Linked DNA regions of Diceros bicornis minor. The protein of the gene in region 1 interacts with the protein of each later gene in a biochemical or structural test. Links are inferred from orthologs where the notes say so. Each region holds a gene or a part of one and is shown in the gene's direction. Other genes may lie near its edges.

Region 1 (3,745 bases):
CACATGCTCAAACAGAAATCTTCATATTGAATACAACCTAGCACAGCGGCAACACCCAGAACCTTGCTCCCTGGCTGACCCTGTGCATCCACTCCTTCTAGTTGCATTTTTATCCTGACATATCTAACATTTATAGGGAGTTTAGGGAGCAGAGTAGATGCTGGGGGGCTTGGGGGCCTGTGGGGGGGAGATATACAAAGGGGCTTAAAGTTTCTGTGTGTCTCTGCCTTCCTGACCTCTATCGAGGCTGTCTCTAGTAGGGCAGGCGCTGGATAGATATTTGTTGTGTTTGGGGCAGAATGCAGGAGAAGCTGTCTCTATAAATTGCCATTTGTTGTCGCACGCCTTCCTGGACAGTTTTTGTTTGGTCCTTTACTCGTAGGTGGACGACCTCCCTTCCCCAGCCATTTTCACTAAGGAATGACAGAGTAGCTCTAAAAGCATCCGCCGCCCAGCACGGTCTGGAGTGACAACCTTGCCACCTCTCCTCTTGCTTTCCCATTCATTAGGACCCTTTCCCAGCCTCTTTCCCCAGCAACAACTGGGAAAGGCTTCCTGCGGTTACAAAACAAGCGGGGGAGCGGCTGAAGTTCCGAGTCTTTCGCCGCAGAGAGCTAAGAACGTGCGTTCAGTAGTGGACCTTTTGTCCCCAGCCCCTTCACCGGCTTGGTCGCGGAGGTGACGACCCCGACCAGCCCCCGCCTAAGCAGCTGCCGCCGGCGCGCCCCTGCGGGCCAACTCCCCGCCCCTTCTAGATTCCCGGCGCCTTCCCATTTTGCCGTGACGTGGCCGGCGGCGCGCGCATGCGCCGCTCAGCCCCGTTTCCTTTCCCTCGGCCACCGCCTCCCGACTGGCTGGGGTGGGCGGGGCCTGTGGTTCGGGAAGCCTCGCGGCCTTAGGGGGAGGAGGGCGTGTGTGCGCGAGGCGGGTGCGCGGGGCGCGCGAGCTGGTCGGCGGCTGAGGCGGAGGAGGAGGAGCTGAAGGAGGCGGCCGGGGCTCCCGCCCGCAGAGAGAGCCAGTCCCGCGAAGCCCCCTCCCACTCCCAGGCGGGCGGTGGCGGCGGGAGGAGGAGAAGGAGGAGGGAGCGTCTCTGCCGCCGCCTCCTGGTCCCCAGCGCTGATCTGCCGCCGCCACCTCCCTCCGCGGCGATCCTCCCTCCATGGTCCTGCCGCGGCCCCCTCTGTAGCCCGAGCTGCCCCACGCCGCGCCGGAGCCAGCCTCAGCAGAGGGAGCGGTCGCGGCCTCGCGGCCCGCGCGGGCTGACGAGCAGAGAGCGCGGCGCCGCGCGGTCCCCGAGGATCCGCACGCCGGGCAGCGCGGCCCGAGCAGCGCGAGGAGCAGCGGGCGGGCGGGCGGCGCCGGGCCCGGGCCGCCCTCGCTCCCGCGCCCCGGCCCCGCCGCCCGCGCCGGGGCGGTCGCCCGCAGAGGAAGGCGCCGCAGTCTCCGGGCCTCGCAGCCCCGCTCGAGCGTCCTCGGCTCCGAGGGCTCGCGGGTCCTGAGGGGAGGAGGCGAGCCAGGGGCCGGGCACTGAGCTCTTTGGCGCCCCCACCCCCGTTTTCGGAGCCCTCCACGCTGCGGCCGCTGTCCCCTCCGGACCATGGCCGACGACGACGTGCTGTTCGAGGATGTGTACGAGCTGTGCGAGGTGATCGGCAAGTGAGTCTTCACGCGAGGGAGCGGGAGTGTGGAAAAATGCATTTCAGTGATGCCCGGGTCCTCCCGCGCCCGCACCCGTTCCAGGCCTGCCCCCTGCCCTCCCTCCCCTCCGCCTCCCTTGTCCTCCTCACCCGGGAGTATTTATAGACGTGTACCTGGACCTTCTGCCGGGCGGGGGTCTGGGGGGGGTTCTCAGCGATCCGTGGAGGCGAACGAGCCGAGGTCAGCCACCCCATGAGGCGTGGGGCCGGCTGAAATCTGCTGTCTGCATTTTATCTGACGGTTGCACAGGGACGTGGCAGAACCGATTTTATAGTTGCTTCCTGGGAACAGTTGGGGTTATTGTTATCTCGCGTGTGGCACAAACCATTAACGAAAAGAGCAGCTTGCGTTTCCTTTACTTGCGTGGAAAGATAGAGAAAGAACGTCCAGGATTTTTAATTGTGGGGTGTGTGTCTATTGTGCAGGATATTAGATAGATGCCTTTGTGTTCACCCCTTGCCCGGATTGGAGGGGGTCATTTAAGACGGGGTGCGTTCAGTTTCAGCGAATTCCTCGCCTGGTATAGACGAACGTGGAAAGAGTTGGGGGTAGCCGAATTTTTAATGCCTCGTTATGCAATGACTGTAAATCAGTGTTCGAGTCTTCCCTCGACTGTTGTTGGGATGGTGGTTAGCGTGGTAGAGCCGTCTGCTTTGAGTCACCGGGCTGGTCTAGAATATAGAACTGACAGTCCAAATGCTCATCCTTTCATCTGTGTTGTATAATTACACTAGGGAAAAGCAGAGAATCAGATTAATCACAGTGCTGATTGAGAATTAAATCTGCAGTTCCTCATCTAATTGTCCATTCCTTAAATCTGTTTTGAATAGTTTCCTTTTCATTCTTGTCAAACAGTATTCCAAGTGCACAATCCTGCTAATTTGCTTGTGAAGGAAATGCTGGCGATCTGAAGTTGATTTCCTAGTTCAATGTGTATTCTGTGGCTTTGGAAGTTGAGGAGATAAGATTTAAGAGCAATTTTTGCTTATTTATTAAGGATTGCTAGATAGCTGCCATTGAAATATTTTACCTCATTTTGGAAGCGGTGCTTTATTGTCTGTTTTAAGGTCCGCAGTTGGGAAATGAAACCAAGACCTTAGAGCAGTTGGCTCGCTCTCTTTCAAGTTGTCTGCAGTACTGAATTTCAATTTGTTTAAGTGCTGATAAATCATTTTTTTCTTCCATGTTGAGGTATTTCAGTGTTGCCTCACTTGGTGAAATTGTGAGTAGAGCTTGCTACACACTTTCCTCAGACCCAGTTGATGCAAGGACATGTTACTCCTTGCCTCTATTGTTACATGACCAGCCTGTCTACTAGAAGAAGGAAATCCAAATGCACCCTGACAAAGTGGTTGTGGAAGTGCTCTAGAGCAGTGCTGTCCAAAAGCTATATAATGCCAGCTGCGTATGTAATTTTATATATGTAAATATTACATATGTAAATTTTCTAATAGCCACATTACAAAGATTAACAACAGAGGTGCAGTTAATTTTAATAAAATATTTTATTTAACCCAATAGATCCAAACTATTATCATTTCAACATGTAATCAGTATAGAAATTATTAATGAGATATTTTACATCCTTTCTTTCTTCTTTGAAATCCAATGTGTATTTTACACTAATAGCACATCTCAATCCTCATACAAAGCTAAATTTTCTTCAGAAATACTTGCTCTGTGTTTAGGTTTCATAAAATTTGCATTTGCAAAAGTAGATTCACATACCCAAGTTGTTCCAAACATACCTAAAAGTTTTCTGGTAACTGAATCGAGTATCTCTTTCTAAATTAAAATTTAAATTAGTTAAAATTAAATAGAATTACAAATTCAGTTCCTCAGTTGGACTAGCCACATTTCAAGTGCTCGATAGCCATATGTGAAGAGCACAGTTCTAGAGACAAATGTGTCAAAAAATCTCCTTGTTTTCTTCTTAGCACCCAGTGAAGGTAAATTAGGTGTTTCTCAAAAGCCCCTAAATGATTGTGTGTGTGTGGGTGAATGATGTTTGTTGTGTCTTAGTTATTTTTCATTTAAATGAGCCAGC
Region 2 (3,745 bases), on another chromosome or scaffold:
ATTTGTAGCTTCCGAATGTTAACACCTCTATGCTGAAATGGAGCCTATAAAATGCCTTAGGGGCTTAAACTGTGTGTGAGGCAGAAATGGTATTTAAGCTCTTAATGAAACTATGAGCTTTGAAAGTGTTGTATTTTGGGTTTACGGGGTTTTCCTCCACTTCCCCTTTTCGGGAGGGTGGGAAATACTCTTAATACACGTTTATTACATTTATTGTCTTCTCTTTTAAAATACAGTTTTCATCAACTGGCGATTTATGAATACATTGCTTGAAGGCATCCGTAAACTTTGTGTGTTTTTCTCCAACTCTCAAAGCAGTTTCTTTCTACTGGTCTAATTCTCGCAGGCAAATATCCAGCTAATTATGTCTCTCGTTGCTTCAACGATCTTTCTCCAGAAAGTGAAAGTGAAGAGAAGAGAATAGAGAAGAAAAGAGCACGGAGGAGGAGAGAGGAAAAGTGGGGAGAGGAGGAAGGGAAAAACGGAGCGAGAAAAGGAAGGCGCCTGGAGCCCCGGAGCATTGATTGCGGACGAGCCGACCTAGAGCGGCCACAGCGCAGAGCCGCCGGCGCCCACTGGTCCCCGGAGCTGCCAATCGGGGCGTAATCCTGTAGGAATTTCTCCCAGGTTTGGCTGGGAGTCACACTGCCGCCTCCTCTCCCCCAGACGCCCGGAGGAGCTCGGAGAAGCAGGCTACGGAGGGAGGGAGGGAGCGGGAGGAGAAGAGGAAGAGGAGGAGGAGGAGGAGGAGGAGGACCCGGGGTGGGAGGCGGCCGCGCGAGAGGAGGAGGGGCGCAGCCGCTGAGCCACCAGCCCCGCTCGGACGCGCTTCCCTCCAGATACTCCGGGAGCTCCAGCCGCGCCGACTGCGCGCCCCCACCGCTCTGCCCCCAAACTTCATCTGCAGCTACATTCCAAGCCATCTAATTTATTCCTCAGAATCAGAAACTGAGCCGCGACACAGGGAAGGAGTCCGCGGAGGAGTAAAACACGAGCAAGAAGAGCTCCAGAGAGCAGCCGCCCGGGAGCGACACCTCAGCGTCGGGAGTGCAGAAACCAACAAGTGAGAAGGAGCCGCGTTCCGGGGCGCAGCCGCGGGCGGCGGGAGCAGGCGCAGGAGGAGCAAGCGAGCGCCCCGAGTCCGGAGCTCGAGCCCCCGAGCCCGAGCTGCGGTCGCTGCAGCTGGTGTGGTCCGGATTTGTCTGCGCGGCTGCGCCTGGCGCTGGGCAAGAGGCTTCGTTTCGCCCTGGTTGCAAGCGTCGGCTGGGAGCAGCCGGTCCCCGGGGAATATGCGGCGCGCTTGGATCCTGTTCACCTTGGGCTTGATGGCCTGCGTGTCGGCGGAGTCGGTGAGTGAGCCAGGCGGGGGACACGCGCGCCGTTTAGGGTGCTCGAGGCCGAGCGGAGTCTGCAGCGCCCTTGGGGAATCAGGGAGCGCCACCTGGGGGAGTCCACCTCCCCACCCCCAGACGCGGCGTTCGGCCCCCGGGATCTGCTGGGACAAACGCACTCGCTCTTCCACCCCTTTTCCCCTTCCCTTCCCGCAGAAAAGCGCCGCTCGCTGGAGTTGCCCCGAAGTCCCCGGGGATGAGGGCGCGAGAATCGCCGTTTTGTCTAACCGCAGAGGCCCCTGAAGTCACTCCCAACTTCTTCACCCTCGGAAGGGTCTTGTTGCCTGGCCCGGGAAGGACCGAGGGAAACGGTGGCCGGAGACGGGAGCCCGGGTAGGGCCTTCGAGGAAAGGGGTGCACCCTGCGCGCTCCCCAAGACCCAGGAGCAACCTGGAAACTTGGGGGTCCCTCCCTCCGCACACCATTCCCCCACGCCAGCTTATAATGGATTGAATGCAAGTGCTGGGGAGATGGGGCCCAGATTTAAGAAACCCGAGAGTGCCCGGAGAGGAAAGTTTGCAAAAGTTCTTTTGTTTGATGTTCCCCGTGGCTGGGGCGAGGTAGCAGACACTACGTGGAAACGCTACTCGCCGAGGCGCAGTCCGCGGTCCCGCGGGGGGTGCGCGGAACGCGACGGAAAATGCTGGGGCGCCGGCCGCTGGAATCCCAGCGCTACGGCGACCCCCTCCTCCTGGAGGCGCGGAGGGCGGCCGCGGGCCCTTAGGGGCAGGAGGACATTTTACTACGGATTGCTCTGGAGTGCAGCATGCGGGGCGAGGCGGGGTGCGTGTGACACTGCGCTTGGCCTCGGGTCGCCTGGCCGCTCGGGGACCGAGGCTTCCAGCCCGCCACCCTCGCCCTCGCGGGCCCAGGCGGGAGTGCATCCGAGGCCCGGAGGAGTCTCTTCTCCGGCGGCGGCCGGCTGCCGGCACCCAGCCTTCCTCCGCGGCCCGGGCTGTGGGAACTTGGTTTCTCCTCCTTTGGGTCCTGTTTGGAGCGTGTTTCCCTACATCGCCCAATGAGCGCCCTCTGAAGGGAACTGCCTCCTGGGCTTCTCCTTGTCGGTGGCGGCCCCTACCTGGGCACCCCGAGCTTTGTCCGGCTGGGTGGAAGCCCCTCACTGGTCAGCCCGCAGCCTCAGTGCCGTCTGGGGCCCCGGTTATGAAGGGCAGCTGTTTCTGTCCCTCCTCGTTCCCCATATCTCCTCCCTTGGCCGCCTGATAACGTCTCCATTTCTAAATAACTGAACTATCTCATTGAAGACACGTCATGTCACCTTAGAGGTGGTTTTGTGAAATTTTCCACCTCGCCTTTCTCCCTTCTCCCTTTATTTTTTGAGTTGATGCGATTTAGGATTGGGAAACCTCTTTGGCACTGAGCAGCAGATGGGTATTTTCATCAGTGTGGGAGCCTCTGTGTGCCGGCACATCCCCAAACGTTACCCGCGATTGGAGAGCACGCAGAATTGTAAACTGGACAGAGTAGATGAGTATTTGGGTGCTTAGGCTGTAAAACAGAACTCCGAGCCTTATCGGTATTTCTCCTCGGCAAATGATCATGTAATCCGTTGGGATTGGTAATCTCCCAGTCAGTTATGAACTTTGGCTCGTTGTACAAAAAAAGGGGGAGATGGTTCTGAAATAATGTTTCAGAAAAACATTATTGCTCATCTTGTTGTAAAGCAGGGCAAAGGGAGAACTCCATCTCAAGGTTTTGAAGAGAAGCCTGCCTAAAAAAGCTGTACAGGAGGTCCTTTTGCTGAGTCCTGTTCAGGGATTTGCTAAGAAATATTACTGTTTGGGGATGCTAGAGAAAGCGTATCTCTATCTTCTGCCTCTTTGGGTTTTTGTGGAAATCCGACAGCGCTCCTTAAGGCAGCTTTTTGGCTGAATTGTACCTGTCCTCCCCGTGACAACTTTCCTCTGAACTCAGTGTCTTGAGGGCTTTAATATTTCTCATTTCCAACCAAAATTGGCTGTTTCCCCCAGTGAGCTGCTTCACTGTGGTAGATACTGTTTTCAGTAATTGGAATATCATCCAAAAAGGTGATTAGATATTTTTAAAATGTCAACTTGGAGACTCGAGCAGAGTCTTTGTTAAGCAATGAGTCAGTCTTTCTCAATAGAAGCTGTTTCAAAGCCCAGGATGTCTAATAGTCCATTTAAGTTACTTTTCAGTCTCTGTTTCATGTATAGCAGCATAAATTTATGCAAAGTTGAAAGACTTAATTTTTCAACATTTAGCCATTATAGTACATTATTTCCAGTACTTCACATTTTAATTTGAAAACTGCAACTGTTTCCTGGGAGTCAGAAATAGTGATTGTCTGAGTTTAAAGCCTCTTTTTAAAAGGA
Region 3 (3,745 bases), on another chromosome or scaffold:
GCATGAGTTTCAACTAAAAATGATGTAACAATATAAATATTAACAGAAAGCTTGAGTATCAACATAGTCTATAGAAAGAGAGTCTTAGTCATCACCCCACTATTAGTCACAGTGAGAAGAAAAAAATAATTCTGGAATGTAGGGCCCTGCTGACAGATCAAACGTGTTAAGGACATATCCGCAGTCACTCACAATGATGTTTATAAAGCATCTGTAGGTCAGTTTGTATTATCTGGGCGTGTTTGGTGCACATGTGTTTAAAGTTCTTCCTGAGATAATGTAATTCTGCTTTTCCCATTTTTGAGTTGACCGCTCCCTTCCCCTCTCTTTTCCCTCTCCTTTTCTTTTCCTCCTTTCTGCGCTGCCCAATTCTCAAAGCCTGTGTATGCTGCTAATGGGGTCGACAGAGGAACACAGTTTGGGGGTTGTGTTAAGGTATCATTCCACTTCTCTCCTGGTCCTTTCCCCCAACCCTCGCATATTAATATGTGATTTTCACTTGCCAAAGGGACCAAGTTTTCTGCAGCACCCAGCAATTTACATACAAACAAACAAACAAACAAAAAAACAAAATCAGGCCCGTCTCCGCGAGCCCCGCAGTACGACTCTCTTCCATACCTCCTCCTTTTAGGTATTCCTCTAGTCCTCCAGCCCCAACTCAGAACCCAGCCAGTCAGAAAATCCCTACTTCAGGAACGCCGCCCAATCCGGATGTCCTCACCTGCAGAAGGTGAGGAATTGGCTCCTTACGCGACAGTGTTCTGGGCCAATCAGAGGCGGCTCTGGCTTGGAAAGGCGCCAATCCGCCCCAGTGGGGAGTAGTGGGCGGAGTCCCACCTGGCGACGGTGAATCACTCAACCGAGCGGCGGCTGCCTCCACCAATCGGAATGTGCAGGGGCGGGGCGCCGACCAATCGGGCGTGGAGGGAAGGGCCGGGCGAGGCTCAACCTGGCGGCTGGAGTTTAGTCCTCGCGCTGCAGTGGGTGAAGCTGTGTCTGTCCCAGGGCTCTGGCGGCCGCTGTCGTTTCGGGATCCTGATCGTGATGGGGACAAAGGCGAAAGCCGGGAAGAAACAGTTGCTTCTCTTCACATCAGTGATTCTGTGTAAGTTCCCGGAGTTTCGGGAGGAATCGGTGGGTCGGGTCAGAGGTTGGAGGGAGGCACTCCCCACGCTCTTTGCCCACGGGAGGGGAGGAGTTCAGAAACTTGCCAGCCTCCTAGTCCTGTTTTCCACCTCTGGCTCCTTTCTCTTCTTTCCCCTCCCCCTCCCCCTAGTGAGTGGCTGGCTCCCCTCCCCCATATCAGTGAGTTGTGACCTCTCCCCTTACATCCACCCGGAGAGAGCTGCCCCTTCCGCACTTACACCAAAAATAACGGGGAGGGGTTGGTTCCACTTTCCCCCATCCTCACATACTGGTGAGGGCCGATGGGCGCGAGGGCCCTGCCCACGTACGTCTCCCCAGCCATCCCCCTCCACACGCACCTGGGAAGGGCATTCTGCCTCTCCAATACGCCTCCAACGTCTGCGAGCAACCCAAGAGAAGTCATGGGCCTCTCACCCCCTGACTTCCTTGGCCCTGGATGCTCTGCTCCTGGAGGGTCCTCAGAGAAAATCTAGTGGAGGTGGGGTGAGGTGGAAGTCTCTTTCCCTGGCTGCTCCTGAAGGGGTCTCTTTAGCTCCCCCTGATCTTTGGTTTGCCGTGGTTGCTCTGGAAAAGTGTCTGGGTGCAAACTCTGAAGAGGAAATAAGACTGAAATCTGAAATTTCTCAGAGCACAGCATTCAAAGTTTCTTTCTGGAATAACTGCCTTAAGAGTCCTTAATAAATATTGTTGACTGAGTGACTATTCCCAGGAGGAGGAGGACCTGTCTGTTGGTTGGCTGGATCCTTCTCACAGTGAGAACTCTGCCCTACCCCTGGCCGTGTATGAGAGTGTTTGTTTCTTTTGTAAACTCCCTTTTCTGTGGAACAATGAGGCTGGCTTGCTGGGTCATGCCTCTGACTATAGATGTGTTTGTACCGGGCTGAGTGAAAGGTTTATGCCTTGGTCAGTCAACCTGTGTCAGCACCTGTACAGGTGTCCGTCTGCTTCTTGAGTGTCTGTGCGTGTGCTTATGTGGATAGTTGTGTCAGTATGTCTTCTGTAGGAATCGCTGTTTTTTCCTCAGGGTCCATATTTTAGGAAGTGTAAAAGAAATGAACATTTACAATCAATATCGGTGATTATAAGGCATTTCATTTTGCTCAGTTTTGAAGGGTGGAAATAGATTCCCTGCCCTGAAACAGATGGATTGACTAGTCCTTTGTCCCTTATCACAAAGACGTAAACCCTTTGGGTGGAGTGGACCAGAGGCAAGTCTAATCCTCTCTATTGTACAGATAAGGAAACAGGTCCTAAGAGAGGAGATGACTTTTCCAGATTGACAAAAGGTCCCGGGAATGGAACCAAAGTCTCCTGACTCCATTATCCTTTTTCCACTCCTGGATCCAGCATCTTAGGGACCCTATGGCACAGGAACCATGATATCAAACATCAGTTTGGAATACTGTCCACTATCTTACTTACTTTTTTCCATTTTTCTTTCCCACTAGATTCTTTATTCTCCCACTTCTCCCTTTCATTCTACTCCTTCATCCCCCGCCCCCTTGTTTTTGATTTCCTTTCTTTTCCTACCCCCACCCTTACTTCTGCCTGTATCTTAGAACTGCAAGTGACACCCATGGTCATTTTTTGGTTCTGTGTGGCTCAGCACTAAAGACTTTGCCAACCCTTGTACTGTGCTAGTACTTTTCCCCCACAAACCTAGAAGTTTCTGAGTCAGAGACTCTATTTGTGACAGTACTTGTCAGGCTTGTAAGCTTCCTGGAGCTGCATCTTGCTCCCCTTCCCTCTTCTTTTCTTTCCCTCTAATTTTCTATATTGTGATAATCACACAATAATCACATACTGGCACTGATGGCACCATTCTGAGCTTGGGGATGTCCTCTAGTCTGTTCAGGGAATCAAGAAACAGTGGTTCAGAGGGAGCCTAAGATGATGTTTTGTAAGCATGGCAAGACAGTGGGTCCTGGGAAGGGGTGGAGGAACTGATCTTGTCACATTTAAATCAGGATAGAGCTGGGGGGAAGTGATTTGATTAGTATAATGAAGATGGGACTAGGAGCAAGGTCACCCCACTAGGGTTCTAGCTTGGCTTTCTGCTTTCTTTGTGATCTTCGGCAAAGTAGCTCAGTCTTTTCATCTGTAAAAAAGAGTAATAATACTTGTTCTAAACCTGTCCTGAGGACGAACCGGGCTAATAGCCACATTACGTATACATGAAGGGATTATTTATTATTAGGCAGCTGTTATCCCCTTTGAATTTTGTGAGGATGAAAGAATACTGTGTCTGGTAGAGTAGGTCAGAGAAAGAAGAGAGAGACCCTGATAGATCCCAAATGGCAAGAGTCAAAAAGCAGAGGCTTGCTCTTGAGCATCTAGTCTGTCCTCTGCCTTTGGGATATTGAAAGTATATACAGAATGCCCATGTGCTCTCCCTCCTCCCTCCAGGGCTCCTCCTCATTGTGGGCTCTGCCATCAAGGAGGAAGAAGAAAGAGTAAGATATGATCAACAAGTCAAGCAGAGGCCCAGCCGCAGCCTGGGGATGCTAGTGGAAAGGAAGGCCTGAGCCTGCTGAGGCAGGGATCCGAGGTGCAACACTGGGAGAACTGGGCTTGGGAAAAGCAAAACTGGTGACAGAGA

What was found.
Region 2: the proteins of CASK (region 1) and SDC2 form a complex in vitro, tested with the Homo sapiens proteins (2 studies listed by BioGRID and IntAct, with this or other methods). The link is inferred for Diceros bicornis minor from reciprocal best matches to the Homo sapiens genes CASK and SDC2.
Region 3: the proteins of CASK (region 1) and F11R form a complex in vitro, tested with the Homo sapiens proteins (2 studies listed by BioGRID and IntAct, with this or other methods). The link is inferred for Diceros bicornis minor from reciprocal best matches to the Homo sapiens genes CASK and F11R.

The regions. Positions count from the first base shown.
Region 1 is NC_080781.1:36,526,935-36,530,679, reverse strand, and holds the start of CASK (peripheral plasma membrane protein CASK), read left to right. Parts: upstream 1-1,032; 5' UTR 1,033-1,597; coding exon 1,598-1,656; intron 1,657-3,745. UniProt on the Homo sapiens protein: Multidomain scaffolding Mg(2+)-independent protein kinase that catalyzes the phosphotransfer from ATP to proteins such as NRXN1, and plays a role in synaptic transmembrane protein anchoring and ion channel trafficking.
Region 2 is NC_080760.1:15,627,436-15,631,180, forward strand, and holds the start of SDC2 (syndecan-2), read left to right. Parts: upstream 1-871; 5' UTR 872-1,289; coding exon 1,290-1,349; intron 1,350-3,745. UniProt on the Homo sapiens protein: Cell surface proteoglycan which regulates dendritic arbor morphogenesis.
Region 3 is NC_080743.1:67,618,071-67,621,815, reverse strand, and holds the start of F11R (junctional adhesion molecule A), read left to right. Parts: upstream 1-873; 5' UTR 874-888; coding exon 889-1,105; intron 1,106-3,745. UniProt on the Homo sapiens protein: Seems to play a role in epithelial tight junction formation. Appears early in primordial forms of cell junctions and recruits PARD3.